Tamandua tetradactyla: one gene and its partner. The protein of the gene in region 1 interacts with the protein of each later gene in a biochemical or structural test. Links are inferred from orthologs where the notes say so. Each region holds a gene or a part of one and is shown on either strand. Other genes may lie near its edges.

Evidence for each region. The genes of interacting proteins can lie anywhere in the genome.
Region 2: the proteins of BCAR1 (region 1) and PTPN12 form a complex in vitro, tested with the Homo sapiens proteins (3 studies listed by BioGRID and IntAct, with this or other methods). The link is inferred for Tamandua tetradactyla from reciprocal best matches to the Homo sapiens genes BCAR1 and PTPN12.

The regions. Positions count from the first base shown.
Region 1 is NC_135342.1:69,922,342-69,930,260, forward strand, and holds the start of BCAR1 (breast cancer anti-estrogen resistance protein 1), read right to left. Parts: upstream 3,007-7,919; 5' UTR 2,885-3,006; coding exon 2,873-2,884; intron 1-2,872. UniProt on the Homo sapiens protein: Docking protein which plays a central coordinating role for tyrosine kinase-based signaling related to cell adhesion. Implicated in induction of cell migration and cell branching. Involved in the BCAR3-mediated inhibition of TGFB signaling.
Region 2 is NC_135327.1:140,471,612-140,479,538, reverse strand, and holds the start of PTPN12 (tyrosine-protein phosphatase non-receptor type 12), read left to right. Parts: upstream 1-4,914; 5' UTR 4,915-4,963; coding exon 4,964-5,062; intron 5,063-5,452; exon of another isoform or gene 5,453-5,584; intron 5,585-7,927. UniProt on the Homo sapiens protein: Dephosphorylates a range of proteins, and thereby regulates cellular signaling cascades. Dephosphorylates cellular tyrosine kinases, such as ERBB2 and PTK2B/PYK2, and thereby regulates signaling via ERBB2 and PTK2B/PYK2.

The DNA.
Region 1 (7,919 bases):
CCAGTAGCCTTGGCCTCTGCTGAGAGTCACAGGCCACAGCCTGTGAGATGCCACGCAGGATGACAGTCACAGAGACTTTGGACTCTGCAAGACTTGGTTCCCTCCCAGTGTGACCCTGGCAAGACGCACGTTCTCCCTAAACCCAGGAGGCACTTGGCCAACACCAGGCACTCAGGATGTGCTCCACTAGCTCAAGACCTCTCACGTGTGAAAGGGCCTAACCCCCATATAAGAAAAGAGCGGAGCAGGGACTGGAATGGCCAAATCCATTTCACAGACAGGAAACAAGAGGCAGGAAGAGAAGCAAGGGGATGTTTCTGCAGTGCCAGGGGAAAGCAGCTTGACAGTGCCAGGGGCAGCCATCATTTTGCCACTCCTCACAAGGATTCCAAGCCAATGCTGGCCAGGGTTCTAAGGTGGTGGGAGGTATAGCCATTTCCTTTCAAATGTTTCCTGCCTGCCTGGAGAGAAGAGACAGACCTAGGATGTCAGGCAGCTATCCCGAGAGGAGCCAGAATCAGGCAGCAGCCAGTAAGTGAGTCTGCAGGCAACAGGCAGAAGATAGGGCACTGAGCAGGGGCACCTTCCCCTCTCTGGGCCTCAGATTCCAACTGGTTCAAATAACAGCGTCATGTTCTAGCAGGCAGGGGGTCAACTTGGCCCCCTCCCAACCTTTTCTCTCCCTGCCATCACCTCCCTCCCTGTCCCATTCTGAAGCACCTTGTAATTTCTGTGGTCCAAATTGCCTGCGTCAGTACCATCCAGAAAAAGCCTGCCCAAATGAACGGGTGTGCTTAAAACCCACACGTGTCTGTGGACACCACAAGGGCAGTCACCATCATGGCTATGAAAACAAAGCTGAGCAGGCGACTCAGCCTGGAAGCCTCCCCGGGGCAAATTCAGCACATAAAAAGCAATTTTCAGAACATTTCACGGTTGCTCCATAAACGAACTTCTCCTGGTCCCACTGCTCAGACACTGCCCAAAGTCTGAAGAAAAGAGCCAGGGTGATCTGACAGTCCAGCCACACAGGGGGCAGATGGTGAGTCCTTGCCCACCCCCCCACCCCCCACCCCTGTAGGTTGTGGCTGCAGGTGGGAGGGTGGGAACTGGGCGGAGTAAGGGGTGGGGGTGGGGCGAGTAAACCACAGCTGCTGGCCTCCACAATGGTGCTTGTCTGTCCAAGTCACAAGCGGACCCTGGCCCTCCCAACCCACCCCTCTCTGAAGGGGCCTCTGAGGCACAGAGTCGAGGAGGACTCCCAAAGTTCTGTAAGACAAGGGGTCTGGGTGCCAGAGTCCTGTCCAATGCTCTGCAATGACCGTGAACAACGAAACCAAGTCCCACTCCTGCCTCCCAAACAGAGGCCAGCCAGGCTCGATATGGTCCTGGTCCCAATTTACCCTGAGTCACATTCCTGCCCACTTCCCTGGACACCAATGCCCTCCAGCAGGCTCAAGTCATCCACCTCCTCTCTCTGGCCAGTGCCCAGGGGCAAGGGGAGCTCCCCTGAGACCCTGGGCCAGGGGAGACCCACAGTAAGAAAGCAGAGCAGGGGAGAAGAAGGGCTTGGCAGGCATTTCTAAAGATGAAGCAATTACGCTCTGAACCAGAACAGATGGGGGGTAGGGCTTTCACATCAGCACGGCCTGGAAGCCCTAATTTTTTCATCTGTAACTGTGCATTACTGCTCCTGGAGGCAGACAGGAGCTGAGATCTTTAATTCCATAATAACAATGCTTTGCACTTACATCCAATAATCTCCACACACTCTATTGTGGTTAATTAAGAGGCCAATCTATCCTGCCAGAAAGTCCCAACTACCTGCTCTACCTTAAGGATGGGGTTCCCCAGGAGGCGAGCAGCCCTAGAAACAAGGCGAGGGTCTACCTGGTGCTCTGGCCCACTGCCCTTAGGGAGTGAGAGAAAAGCCGCTAGCTCCAGGAGAAACAATGGCTGGAGGCCCCAGCCCCAACATGCAGCAGCACCCCTTCAGGCCAGCCCTGGGTCTGCCTCCCACCTCAGTCTGTCCATCTGTAAAGCGGGTTGGGGCGAGGGCCTGAGGCCTGGTCATCCAGGGTCACCAAAGTTCTCACTGGAGACCACCTCTCCGGCCAGCCAGGCCATGGAAAACGGGTTGTCAGGCAGGAAGAGAAGCGCCCATGGCTACAGGGAACAAGAGACTGACTGGGTCCTGCATCCCGGGGTTCAGGGACTCCCAGGAAACTTCCCAGGAAAGTGAGTGCAGCAGCCTTCCTGGGGGAAGGGTGGGGGAGCATGAACCCCCAACGGCCAAGCCCGGAGGGAGCGGAGTGGTCCAAGGGGAGAAGTAACCACCCCGGCCCAGGCCTGACCATCTCGGTGGGTCCCTGGAAGACAGTACGGCTGTCACCCAGGCGTTTTCCTGGGGGAGAGCACGGACATCTCCCCAACCCCCCGGCCCAGCTGTCCCGTAGGGGGTCTCGGAGAGGCGAACGGACCCCACCCCCACCTCCACACAAGGCCTGGCTATCCTGGTGGGGACTCCTGGGGGCAGCACAGATCCCCGCGGGGGACAGTTGTTCCCGGGATTTCCCAAGGGCGCGGAGCCCAGACCCACAACAGGCCCGGCCATTCTGACGGGAAAGGGGGTCTCCAAGGAGACAGTGCAGACCCCAGCCCTCCTGAGAGAATAGTGGAAGGAAGGGGCACAGAAGCCGCCGGCTTGGGGGAGACGCCCCCGCCTAACCGTGCCCCGCCCGTGGGGGCCCAGGTCCCGCGAGCGCCTGTCGGGGGACCCCGCGGCACTAGGCCTGCAGCGGGCGGCGCGAGGTCCACAGGCCCGGCCGGGGACAGGGGTGACTCGGAGTCCCGGCTGGCGGTCGGTACTCACCGGCACGGACATCTTGGCCCCAGTCGGGGCACCGGCTTGAGCAGCGGCGCCGGCAGGCTGGGGGCTCGGGTCCGCCTGCACGGCTCAGACGCCCCCGCGGCGCGGAGTCCCGGCGCTTTCCCGGCTCCCCGCCGGCTCCTGCGCGCTCCCGGGGGCCGGACGGTCCGGCCTCGCTAGCCTGCGCTGCGCATGCGCCGCCCGCGCCGCCCCTCCCCCTCCAGCCTCCTTCGCCGAGGACCGCGTTAAAGGCGAGGACCCCGGCCCCTGGCATTTTTCCGTCGGCCCAACGCGGCTCAGAGCGCCCTGGCTCCCCGCCCCTTGCCCATCCTCCAGGGCCCTCTCCAACAGCACCACCTCCTGTTCGCCGCTCCGGTTCTGGGTGCCGAAAGCCCCACTCTCCACATTGCACATCCCAGGGGGCGGGGCGCCTGCCCTGTGACTTTGACCAGGTTCGCAGACTATGCGTCTGGAATCAGACAGGGGATGCTCTCGTTCCGGCTGAAGGCAACTGCAGATCAGTAGAGCTGGGCTCCGAGAAGCCCCCACTCCCCGTTGAAAGGGGGCCCGAGATCCCCAGTACAGTCCCTAAGCGGCGCTGCCCGGGGTCCCCTGCTGCGCCCACCCCACCCGCACCCCCACGCTCGCCATGGGAAGCTCCTGCCCCCGGGAATAGCTTTGCCCATCCGAGATCTGTCTCCTGGGACCTCCGCCCACGAGCCACCCACACAGCCCTCCAGACACTGAAAGATGAACGTGTGCAGACCTGGGCCCTCCCTTCCCCAAGTTAAACACCCCCAATTCCTTCCACCGTTCCGCATCCAAACACTGGACCTGCTAAACTCCGCACAGGCACCTGACCTGTGTTCGCTCTCATCTCCCCACCTCCCTGCCAGGCAGGCCTTGCTGTTCCCTTGTTATGTTGTAGACTCTGAGGCTCCTCAGAGGTCCCTCGGCTACGGAAAGGCAGAACCTGGCGTCTGTCCTTGCTCCATGGGGGCCCTTCCTGGGTGCCCTTGAATGCCCAGCGAGCCCTGGTCCAGGGAAATGGTCGCTGCTGCTTTGGGAGACCCGCAGGTTATGCCCTGCAGGGGAGGGAGGGAGCGCCTATGAGTTCCTAGACCGGGGGCCTGGGGGGCCAGGCAGTGTCCAGGGAGGACATGCAGGAGCTGGCTGAGGGGTGGGCAGAGAGCCCCAGCCCCTGGGAAATCTGTCACACTCGGCTGCAGGGGGGGCACAAGCTGTTTTGTCTGCCAGGGGTGCAAGTGCAAGGAGGTCCAAGATGACTGAGCAGGGGAAGCAGAGACAGGTGGCAGGGGGCTTCCTCAGAGGTTCCCTAGACCTTAAAATTCACCATTAGCTAGTCGTCCACTGGATTTTAAAAGGTTTTCCAGCTTCTTCCCCAAGGGAGGACTGCCTTGGTCCTCCCCTAGTTCCATCCTGGGGAGGCTCCTTAAGAGTAGCCACCAGCATTGGCAGGGGTGGGGGTGGGGGGATAGGGAGCAGGTGGCCGGGTATAAGATGAGCTAAAAAGGGGAAATTGAGGTCTACCACTGACCCTGGTTCTAGAACTGATGAGCCAGGGTTCCTCCCTGCTCTGATTGATCAGGGATCTCCCCCTTTAAAGGGGGTCCCCAAATGTATACCGCAGTGTCCCTAGCCCAGCAGTCGTCCAGGACTTGCTGGAGGGGGCAGGCAGGGCCACAGCAGACAGGGAGGGGACCAGGCCCACAGCTGCCACCTCCTCAAAGGGTGCTCTGTGTGTATCTGGCACGCAGCCCTGCCCGTGCCCACCCGCCTGCATCCAGCTGGCACGGGACTCCTCAGCTGAGAGCAGCAGTGCAGCCTGGCGCCCGGGCGCCCCGCCACACATGCTGGCCCTCTCCAAGCTCCTCCTCCAGCCCCCCATCCCCCAGCCTCCCAGGCTCAGCCTCCCTTTCTGTGGTGGCTCTCTCATCACCCACCGTTTTGGATTCCTTCTCTCCCGTCTCTAGTTGCCCCAGGCCAGAAAGGGATGAGGGGTGGGCAAAACCCCTTCTGCACCCTGGATACAGTGGCAGGGTGCAGCCGGGACCGAGACCTCGAAGCCATCTAGTCCTGGCCTCCACCTCCCCCCCCCCCACGGGGCTGCTCACTGGGGGAAGGGCATCACTGACTCAGCCCTTAGTGCAGGGAGAGGGGACCCTCAGCGGAGGGGGAGAGGCGGCTTATGGGGTTGGGGTCAACCAGAGAAGCCTCCTGGGGGTCCTGGGCGCCTGCCCTGACGCTAAGAGCCTGTAAAGGCGGGGTCTGCTCCCCCCACACCCTCTCCAGGAAGGCAAATGATCCCAGGCTGGCTCACTCAGGAGTGCAGAGGCTCTTGGGCCCTCAGGCTGGCAGTTCTGGCCAGAACCAAGAGAGGGGCTGCCTGAGCTGGCCCCAGCACGCTGAGAGGGTCCCTGAGAGCTGAGGGGGCCCCAGGGTGGCGGGGGTCTGTTCCTGACAATAACTGGGAGAGAAGGGAATTTGGACACAGCTGGAAAACGAATCACGCAGGGGCAAACTTTACATTCAGCTCTCCTCTGGACACCAAGGCTGGGCCGCTGTATCCTGGGCCTTGAGGTATCTAAAGGGGCCAAGGGTCAGGAGGTGGCTCCTTCTACCCCATTCTCCTCCCCAGGGTAACCAGGACTTCTCAGTATAGGGGCCTCTGGCCCAGGAGACCTTTGAGGTCCCTCCTGGGCGCCGAGGGCACAGGGATGTGGAGGTCAAGCTGTCTGCCTGGTGGAACTGACAGACCATGGAGGAGAGAAGTGTGGGCTTCCCAGAGCCCACTGAACATGAGGACCTTGGAAGCTGGGACAAAGGGACCCTTGAGGGCTGTGAAGACTTCCTGGAAGAGGGGGCCTGCCCTGCACTCTGAAAGGCAGGCAGTTTCTCATTCTTGGCCACATAGAGTAGGGTCCTAAACTCATGGAGTAGGGTCCTAAACACAGGTGCATATAGGGGGCCAGGTGGGGAACAGCACTGAGAGAGACCCAGTATAGGGTGATAGGGAGGGGTGGGGACTGGGGCAGAGAGAGCAGCTGCTGCCCAGCTCAGCTCCAGTTACTGAGATGTGGGAATTCAGGCTTGGCGCGGTGCATCAGATCCTTTTGTTTGTTTGTTTAATAAAATTTTATTTTAGAATAGTTTTAGATCTACAAAACAATTACAGTAGTACAGAGTTCCCATATGCCTCATACCCAGTTAGTCCTATTATTGACATCTTACATTACTCTGATACATTTTTCACAATTAGTGAACCAATATTGCTATACTATTATTAACTAAAGTCCATTCTTTATTTCAATTTCCTTAGTTTCCCCTAATGTGCCTCTTCTGTTGCAAGATGCCATCCGATACCACCTTACATTTAGTTGTGTTGCCTCCTGGACTCCTCTCGGTGGCATCATTTTGCAGACTTCTTTGTTTTGGTGACCTTGGCAATTCTGAGGAACACTGGGCAGGGGGATTGTAGAATATCCCTCGGTTGAGATTTGTCTGGTGTGTCTCTCATGATCAGAGTGAGGTTGTGGGTTTTACGAGGCAGATCACAGAGGCAAAGGGCTGTTCTCAAGAATACCTGCTATCACCATGGCTTAGCCCAGCTGATGCTGACCTTGACCGCCTGGCTAAGGTGGGATTTGCCAGGTTCCTCCACTGAAAAGTTACTCTCCCCCCACCTCTTTTTTCTTATGATGCCCTTTGGAAGGAAGTCACTTGTGCAGTCTATGCTTGAGAAAGTGGGAAATTACATGCCATCTCCTTGAGGGTGGAACGTCTACATCAATTGTTTGAAACACTTCTGCAGGGGAATTTTTTTTTCTTCTCTTCCATTTCTTTTTTCAATCATTTTTTATGTCAGTAAGGACCACAGATATTTATTTTGCATTTTGAATTACACTCCAATTCTGTTTCGTTTTTTTTAAATTCAAATTGTGCCAGCTTTGGCCATTGGCTGCTCTTTCCGTTGGCAAGTCTGATTTTTTAAGATAATCTAGAAATCCAGATCGTTTCTTAACATCTCTGGATTTTGTAATGTTAACTGAGCAGGCCAACTCCAGGCAGCTCTGGGCTCTGGATGTCTCCTCTGAATCCTGCTCCATGGCTTGCCGCTGAATGCCATTGTGCATATGAGTTAATAACCTGAGACTGTTTCCTCACTGATTTACTCACGGTTTTGAGGCTAAGAGAAAGTCCAAATCAAGGCACCGACAAGGCAATGCTTTCTCCCCGAAGACTGTGGGGTTCCAGGGCTGTCTCCCACCCCCCAGCCCCCGTGTGGGCCCCCACACTGGCCAGCGCGGGAATCTTCTTGCTCAGTGCAAGCAGCATGCCCTGTTTGTGGGAATAGCTACAAATGACACAGGCAGATCAGCAAGATGAGGCCCAAACCCCCAGCATAAACGAACTCTTTGACCCAGAAATTCCAGAAATTTATTCTTAAAAAAGTGCACTAAAATGGAGCCAAAGACACACATACCAGGATATTACTTGCAGCACTGCTTACGATATGGAAAGCTTGGAAAGAACTCACAGATTCAATAACGGGGACCAGTTTAAATCATGGACCATCACGCAGCAGAATCCTGGGCAGCCCTTGGCAACAATAGGGAGCCCTAGGGAAGACATGGTAATGTGTACAGTGTATTGTTAAGCGTGGAAAAAAATAGGCTTCCAAACAATAGGTACAGTAAGAGTCTATTTTCATAAAAATTTACATATCTACATTTATAATATATATTTGCATTGGGAAAGACACCAGAATATCACCTGTGGCCGTTTTGGGGATGAGGTAGGATTCTTTTTCACCAGTGTGTGATATTTAGGGAGGGCCTATTGGGTCCTTAACACTGAGCTGGCTTCCAAATAAGTACTGCCTTTCCCCAGTCTTTATTGGTTAGAATTTCACTAGTGTCTTTTGTTTTCTTTGGTGGAGGATGGGGGAGTGGCTTTGGTGTAATCAAAATTATTTTCTCTATTTTTCTAATGTTTCTAAAATGAACATTCACTACTTACATAACTTATT
Region 2 (7,927 bases), on another chromosome or scaffold:
TCAACTGAACCTATCCTGAGAAGCTATCAAGAAGTCAGGTTGCTCTGGAGATTCTCCAAATCTCTCCCATGGCCCCTTGGGTTATATCATGATATCTCCGTAGATCTCTGCATGCCTGCTTAATGCTTCTCTCTTAAGACTAACCAGTTTCTTTTTACTACTATATAGCTTCAGCTCTCACAAGGCTTCAGCCTGTAAGATCCCTAACTCTACTCAGTATACATTCAGCTTCTGCTGTTGTGGCTTAATGACGAATTCTATTTCAGTTTCTAAGTTCAGATTCTTAACAGTGAGAACTGATTGGTCCAGATCATCTTGCTGTACCAGGCCATAGCGTCGTAGCAAGTCTATATGGATTGGTTAACTTGGGCCAAGGGTCCAAATTGGCAGCTGTGGCTAAAGACAGGCAGGGTGATCAATTTTCCTGAGAAGAATGTTGTGGCCTAGGTAGACTATTCTGAAACTTAGCTTATCATATGCCATTTTAAAAACCTCTCAAACAAGATCTCTTTTTCCCTTTATTTGCCTATTTCCATGAATGATATTGCCATTCTCCCCATCACATGAACTGAAATTGTAATAATATTTTAATTAAACAGATTTAATTTTGTTGGAAAAATAATTCATGCACATAGTAAAATATTCAGAACATAAAAGGGTATACACACTGGTAATTGTCTCCATTCTTCCAAAGAGCCCCAAGGCCCCCCAGGGGCAACCACAGTTAACAGGTTTTTTAAAGTATCCTTCAGAAAAATTTTATGTCATGTTCAAGCATTTTAATCCACACTTTAATTTTACATAAATGGAAGAATACCATAAAACTATCTGTGCCTTGCTTTTCTCATATAACAAGTAGCTCTTGGGCCCTAATCCATATCAATATATGTAGATCTACTACAGTTTTTCTTTTTAACGGCATCACAAAACTTCATTGTATATATGTGATTTTTATCCAGTGCTTTTTCGATAGGAATGTTATTTCCAGTTTTGCCCTTACAAATAAGGCTGCAATAAGTACCTATGTTTGCACACACCTGATCTATAGGGTAAATTCTGATGAGAAATTTTGAGGTCAAAGCATGAATTAATAATTTTGATACATTTATTTCCAAGATGCCCTCCAAAGGTGTTGTGACAATTATTCTCATCTTCTGTGATGAGCATGCCCATTTTCTCCAACTTTCAAAAGTTTCGTGTTCTGCCAAACACTGTGATCTCTGCCAATTTGGTAATTTCAGTAACTTTAAATTTGATCTACTTTCTCTTAGTTACCTGGTTTTGTGAATGCTTCCAAAATGTCTCTCCTCTTCATCTGCCTTTGTATTTGTACTACTACAACTTTAGTTTCACTTTTGCTGCTTCATGTATTGACTCCTGATAGCTCATTCTATACTTTTCCATTATTAATTCCCAATTTAACAATAAATGATGCCAAATTAATATTTTACTAACTTGCATAATTTTACTTATATCCTTAGAAACCTTTGGTGGCTCCTAATGCCTACAGAGTTAAGTCCAAATCCCTTAACCAGGCATTCAATGCTTTTCAGAGTCCAGTCCATCTACTTTGGAACCTCTGTCCCCACACAAAAGTTCTGCTTCAAAATTTTGCTTTGCTGTCTTCATGCTTTTTGCCCCATCACTGCCCTTATTTGGACTTTTTCCTCCCTGGTCAAGCCTAATTTCACTTATCCTTCATGGTTAATCCTTCATCGTTAAACTCTTGGTTACTTTAAGTCATTCTCTGACAACCTAGTCCACAGTTCTCTCTCCTCAGACTTCTTGCTGCTCTCATGGTCTGTAGCATTCATTTGACATTTATTAACCTAGAGTAACCAAGAGTTTATTGTCTTTTCTATCATCTGAATTAAGATATTAACTCCTTAGGAGAAGGAGCCATCCCTAAAACATTTTTTGTCTCCCACATACACAGTATAATTCTTCCCATATTGAGGTGCTCAAAAAAAATACCTGTCTGTTAAAACAAGTCCTAAGTATATTAAACAGGAGAATAAACTAGCTAGATACCAAAGAAGTACACTGCTAATTCTTTCAAAAAAAGTAGAAATCCAAGAAGGTACTTCACATTTGTTTTCCCTAATCTACAGCAGATGGCAAAAGTGTCTGCTGAGAATTCACGAAACACTCAGGTGTTACTAGAGAGAGAAACTTTCCAATAAGAGGAAAATAAAAACAAAGGAAAAAAAATTAAGAAAAAACTCTAGTCAACGGACATTGGGAACTTCTCCTGGAGCTCGTGTGCTGTATTTGCTAAACAAGGATCACTGATGTTGTCTCCAATGCATCCAACAATGAGCTATCCACACCAAGACTCTGGTGAAGTATTGCATTGTGCTACTGACAGCACACTGTTAAGGTAGTGATATATGAGTCCCTCTATGCACTAACCCTGGGCTACAAAAAGGGGCCAAGCTGTCTTTTGAGGGGGAAGTGAGTTTAAACAAAAAGTGATCAAAGAAAATTCAGAAGAAATATGATGAAAGGAAAAAGATCAGCAGTGTTCTGTAGGGGCACTTCCAGCTGAAGAAGCCTCTTGCATGCACTGCTTCCAGGCCAGGCTGGTGTGGTGGAGCAGATGGCTTTGTGCTGGAAAGCAAGGAGCTGGAGTTCTATTTGAGGAAAATCAAAGTCTGGAAAGGCAAATAAATTCTCCTCTCTCCCATCCTACCTTATGTAATAAAGGTGTTTATTGTTCTTAAAACAACAACAAAAAAACTAGCCAAAATAGGACTCATGACCTCTGACAAGCAACACTTCTCATCAGACTGTCACTAGACTGATAAACAACTTCTTCAGCATAACTAGTCCTTTATCTATCTGGTTTGTACAGTCTTTGACATATCAAAAGTGGAGGCACGCTTGCTGATCTGCCTGCTTTTTTGTCATTTCTCTCTAAGTTCTGGGGGGGAGAAAAGAGAGTATCTACACTGAGTTATAATGTAAGATGATCAAGCTAGATCCTGACCTTTACCCACACCTGTGAAATCGAGTCTCAGTAATTGGTTGAAATAAAACACTCCAGATCCTTGTTTCAAATAATATCTACCTTAGAAATTAAACTACTTCTGTAAGTGATTTTTTTTTTTTTGGGGGGGGTGCATACTTCAGGAATCGAACCCGGGTCCCTCGCATGGAAGGTAGGCATTCTAACCACTAAAATACCCGTGCACCCTAAGTGAATTTTTAAAATACAAAACTATATCTTTTTTACATGCATATAAATGCATGAGAAGAGATTTGGAAGAGCACACAACTTCTAAGTGCATACTTCTGGGGAGGGGTTGCATTAGTTGATTTTTTTTTTAAAGATAAAAATTTTTCTTTAACAAAAGGAAACTGTATCTTATTACTCTCACTTATCTTCTTCAAAGAGTTTCTCATTAAATTCCATGATGCCTCTAAACATTCATTTGGGAAAAATGACCTGCCACTGTTATTTCTTATTTAACCCAATTTTCTGAGTAATCCGATCTGTAAAGAATGTTGTTTGAGGGTTTAAATGACCAAAATACGTCCACGGATCTAATCCTTCACTTTTGTCACATTATCACAAGTTCGCATTGCTTAGAGGCAATATGGTATCGTAATGAAAGCAAAAGGACTTGAGTTCTAGTGTTATAGCTCTGGTAAGAACATGCTGGAGGCCCCTTAGTAAATCACTTTATTTGGTGAGTTAGACCAGAATGGATAACCTCTGGTTACTAGAATTTTAAAGACGTACAAAGACTTATAAAGTCTATTCTATGGAGAAAGTCTCTCATGCAGTTCTAAAATGCTGTCAATTTAAAAAGACGACAGGTTCCTTTAAACTTAGTAAACAGTGAGCCCCTACGACATGCATGGTATACATTAGGACGCATTACGATTCTCAGGCGCTCACTTGCCAGAGCTTAGGTGGATTTGTGAAGAGAAAATCCTTTCAATCAAGAAGCGTTTCGCTTCTCTTAGCCGTAAGAATCCTCCAAAGTCTTAGGTTGTTAAGGCCTTATAACAGTGAAGGCAACATACCTGCTGTGAACGTGGAAATGGCATTACTACAGTTCCCAGCATGCCTCTTTCCACCCCCGCCCCTGGAAGCCAGCAGGCCCGGACTTAAAACGGTGGCGGAGCCAGCGTCGAAGCATTCTTGTAGTAATCTGCTTCCCCCCGCCCTCTGCCCTGAGTAAGCGGTGAGATCGCAAGCTCTAATTAACATCATACTCCAACCCATGAGACTTAGTCCTAAGAAGAGTTCCCTCCTATAGGGTAACCAACACTCTTTTAAGGTTTTCTCAGACCTGGGCGCTACCGGGACGGGGCCACGCCCCGGAAGTGGAGTCGGGTCGCTCACCAGATCGCCGAAGTTCCTTCCAGCCACTCCAAGCCGAGCCGCGGCGCTGGGCGGGCCTGGGGGCGTGGCCTTGGAGGTGGGGCGAGCGGGGGCGTAGCAGCGCGGCGCGGCGCTTGGGGCGGAGCCGCGGTGCGGGGCCGCGCGTTTGGGTGGCGGCGGGGGCGCGCCGTGGGGTAGAGTCGGCTGTCGCTGCTAGTGGTAGTGGTAGTGGTGGTGGTGGTGGTGCGGGGGGAGGAGAAACTGGGGACGGGGGGAGTAGGGCGAGCGCAGAGCGGTGTTCCTGAGGCGGTGGCGGCGTCTCCGGAGGAGGAGGAGGGCGGGGAAGGAGGATGGAGCAAGCTGGGGGCTGGGGCTGGCGCTAGCCGCAGCACCTCGGCTCGTTACTGTGGGAAAGCGGCGACTGCTCCTGGAAGTTGTGTCGGGAGCCCGGCCGGGTGCCGCCGCTGCGTCCCCTAGGGCGGTGGGGAGGAGGAGCGGCGGGGATTGGCGGGGGTCGGGAGGGAGGAGACGCGCAGCGGGAGCGAGCTGGGGAAGACGGAGCGGGCTCTGCGCCGGGCGGGCGGGCGGCGGCGGGGGGGCCAGCGACCGCAGCCAGGGGGACGCGGGAGGATGGAGCAAGTGGAGATCCTGAGGAAATTCATCCAGAGGGTCCAGGCCATGAAGAGTCCGGACCACAATGGGGAGGACAACTTCGCCCGGGACTTCATGGTGAGTCTCTCACCTCGCTGTCGGCTCCTCTCGAGGCCACTGAAGCCCACCGCAGCCTCGCCGGGCCGGCCCGAGCCGCCAGCGCTTTGTGTGCTGCTGTGAGGAGAGGGGCAGAGGGGGCGCGCACCAACCCCAGGGGCCGTCTTGGCCGGGAGCCCGGCGGGAGGTGATACTGCCTCCGCCCCTAGGTCTCCTTTCCCCCTCTCCCGCGTTCGCGGCCCCTTCCGCGGGCTTCTGAGGCGCGAAGGGAGCGGCCGCTGGGCCGAGTCCTAACCCGGCACCGTTTCCTGCGACCACCTATTGTTTCTCGGGCCTGGAGCCGGAGGCGAGTGAGGTGCTGACCGAGAGGACTTGCCTTTCCACACCTCCCCACCTAGCCTGCCCTTCCCAGGAGGGTCGAGGCAGAGTGTCGGGCTGTGTCCGGGGTGGGGAACCGATCCGGCTGATGGAGGTACCAGATTGTTGAGGTCGGCGTTAACTCGTGGGGTCATTTTGCCCAAGCAAGTCTCAGAGGTGGGCAAGGTAGGACTTCTGCCTTGTCTGGGTTCGCAGTTAATGTCCAACGCTTGCAAAAAGGTTTTCCATAAGGAAATCGGGGTTCTTATAATTTTCCATTTATCCCGGTCCCATCTCTCCTCTCCTGAGACCCAAGTTTGAGGTGGTCTTAGGATCCGTTTGACTTTAGGTTGGGGGGGGGGAGTGTGTGCGTGTGTGTGGGGGTATCCTGAAGGAAGCCTACTTCGGACACCCTAGGGGATATTGCCAAAGGCGGAGGGGATGTGACTATCACTTCCTATCCGGGGTGGGGGTGGGGAGCTTGGGAACAATAGTTCTGGCGGGGCGGAGGCGACTATCTGGGCTGAAGCCCTGAACTGGGAGATAACCTTCTCAGCCCCCCGCCCCTTTCCGCCTGCTGCTCCTGCGGGCGGGCTTATGAGGTGAGGGTTAAAGTCTTGTTCGTGAACTTGCTCTACGATACTTCGCTGTGAGGGGAGGCAGATCCGAAGGCGTGGGACCAGAAGTCGACTTCCTATACTACATCCCCCCACCCTCCACCTTTTATTTTTCTGCTGGACAATGTTCCCTCTAGGGTTGTTTCCCGGTTTTGGAGGCGGTGGTTGTGGCTATTGCTCCTACGGATATTGCGCAAGACTGGGGCGTTGGAAACCCTGGAGGTCTGGGGATGGAAAAGGAAGTGGGACTTTGGGAAGTGGTTGCTTCTTAGCCTTGGCGGGGGTTGGGGATGGGAAATAAGCCGGGGAAAATTTAGCCTCTGGATGAGGTACACCTCCGAGAATAATCCTTTAACTCCGAAATTCGATTATAAAAAAGATACGGAGCTCAGGTGTAGAAAAATGAATGGGCAGCTGACATTGGCTGGTTTTTGTTTCAAAGTACAGTTGTTTTCAAGGTGCAGGTGAAGTGACATTTAGTACTGAAATACTTTATAACATTTTAAAAAGACTTTAGTCTAGAAGCTTTAGCGTTAAAATTGTTCAATTTATAAAATAGATCCTTGACCTTACATAGTATTATAATATTGTTGAGCTTTGTGATTCCTACTTCTCCAGGTAAGTAGTAGAGGACAGGAATAAGGTTTTGTTAGTATCTTTTGAAGACTGAAAGACAGAAATTAAATAATTTGATTATGTGTTATTTGAGACATTTTCTCTTGCTATGTAACCTAAATATTTTTGAAATATTACTTTTGATCTGAAGGGGGTAAAGAAAGGAGTATTTTCTCCCCTAACTCATGAGAATTTTTATTTGTTGATATATTTCAGGTGTCATTTTCAGTAATTGGTTGGTGTTCCCTTTTTATTATTCTCTAGCAAAAATAGAAGAAAATATTTACTTGGAATATTTAAAACATTGTAAACTTAAGTCTTGGAAGACTAGATGGTATAGACCTTGACTGGCCACTTGTTTGCATTCTAGCCATATTGTTTTCCCTGGATGCTCTATCCTGTCAGAAAAGAGCATTGTTTGGTTTGATGATGCAGGCCAGGACAGGTGTGCAGACTGTGAGCTACTGTACAGGGGACTTAGCCTTAGGATTCGTGCTTTAGGGATGAATCAGGAATTCTTATTGGAGATTTCATTCCTTGAGGATTAAATAAGTTTCCTTTTTATTCCATAATACCTAGAAATAGCTAGGTGATTCTGCATTTGAGATTTGATAACTGAGGCTATTCTTACACAGTGTTGTGTGTGTGTGTGTGTGTGTGTGTGTGTGTTGGGGGGGAATTACCTGACTTATAGTTTAAGCAATAAGCTATAATTAAGGCTGTACATAGTGCCATTTTTTCCTTTGACTAAAAAGCTGGAGAAAGACATCTCCCTACCTCTGTCCCTTTGTCATGGAAACAGAATAGAGGGTAGGGCTCATATTCTGTGGTGTTATTCTAAATTCTAATGCAAATCAGAAATTGTTTTTAAATTTACTTTGAATATTGAAAACATCTTAAACTGAAGTCTTATTATGGTTATGGAAGAATAAATGCTATAGACCTTTAGCATTTTAGAACTGAAAGAGGTCATAGAGGTTATCTAGCTATTACAACCCCGTTCCATTATAATATTGCTTATTATTTCAGATTTACAAATTATAGAATAACAATTAGTTATGTCTTATGCTTAGAAAAGTAGCATACCAGCTCTGTCTGACTACCCAGTCTTTCTATAGTCTACCCGACTACCTCTGATAATGTTTTTAGTGCTTCCATGTGTCAATACTACATATACCATTATATGTTATTCATTACCTAATATTTTGGTAAATTTTTTTATTAATGCAACTGCTTTGTAAAAATTTTAAATGGAGTATAATATTTCATCTGATGATTTATTATACCACAACCTTTT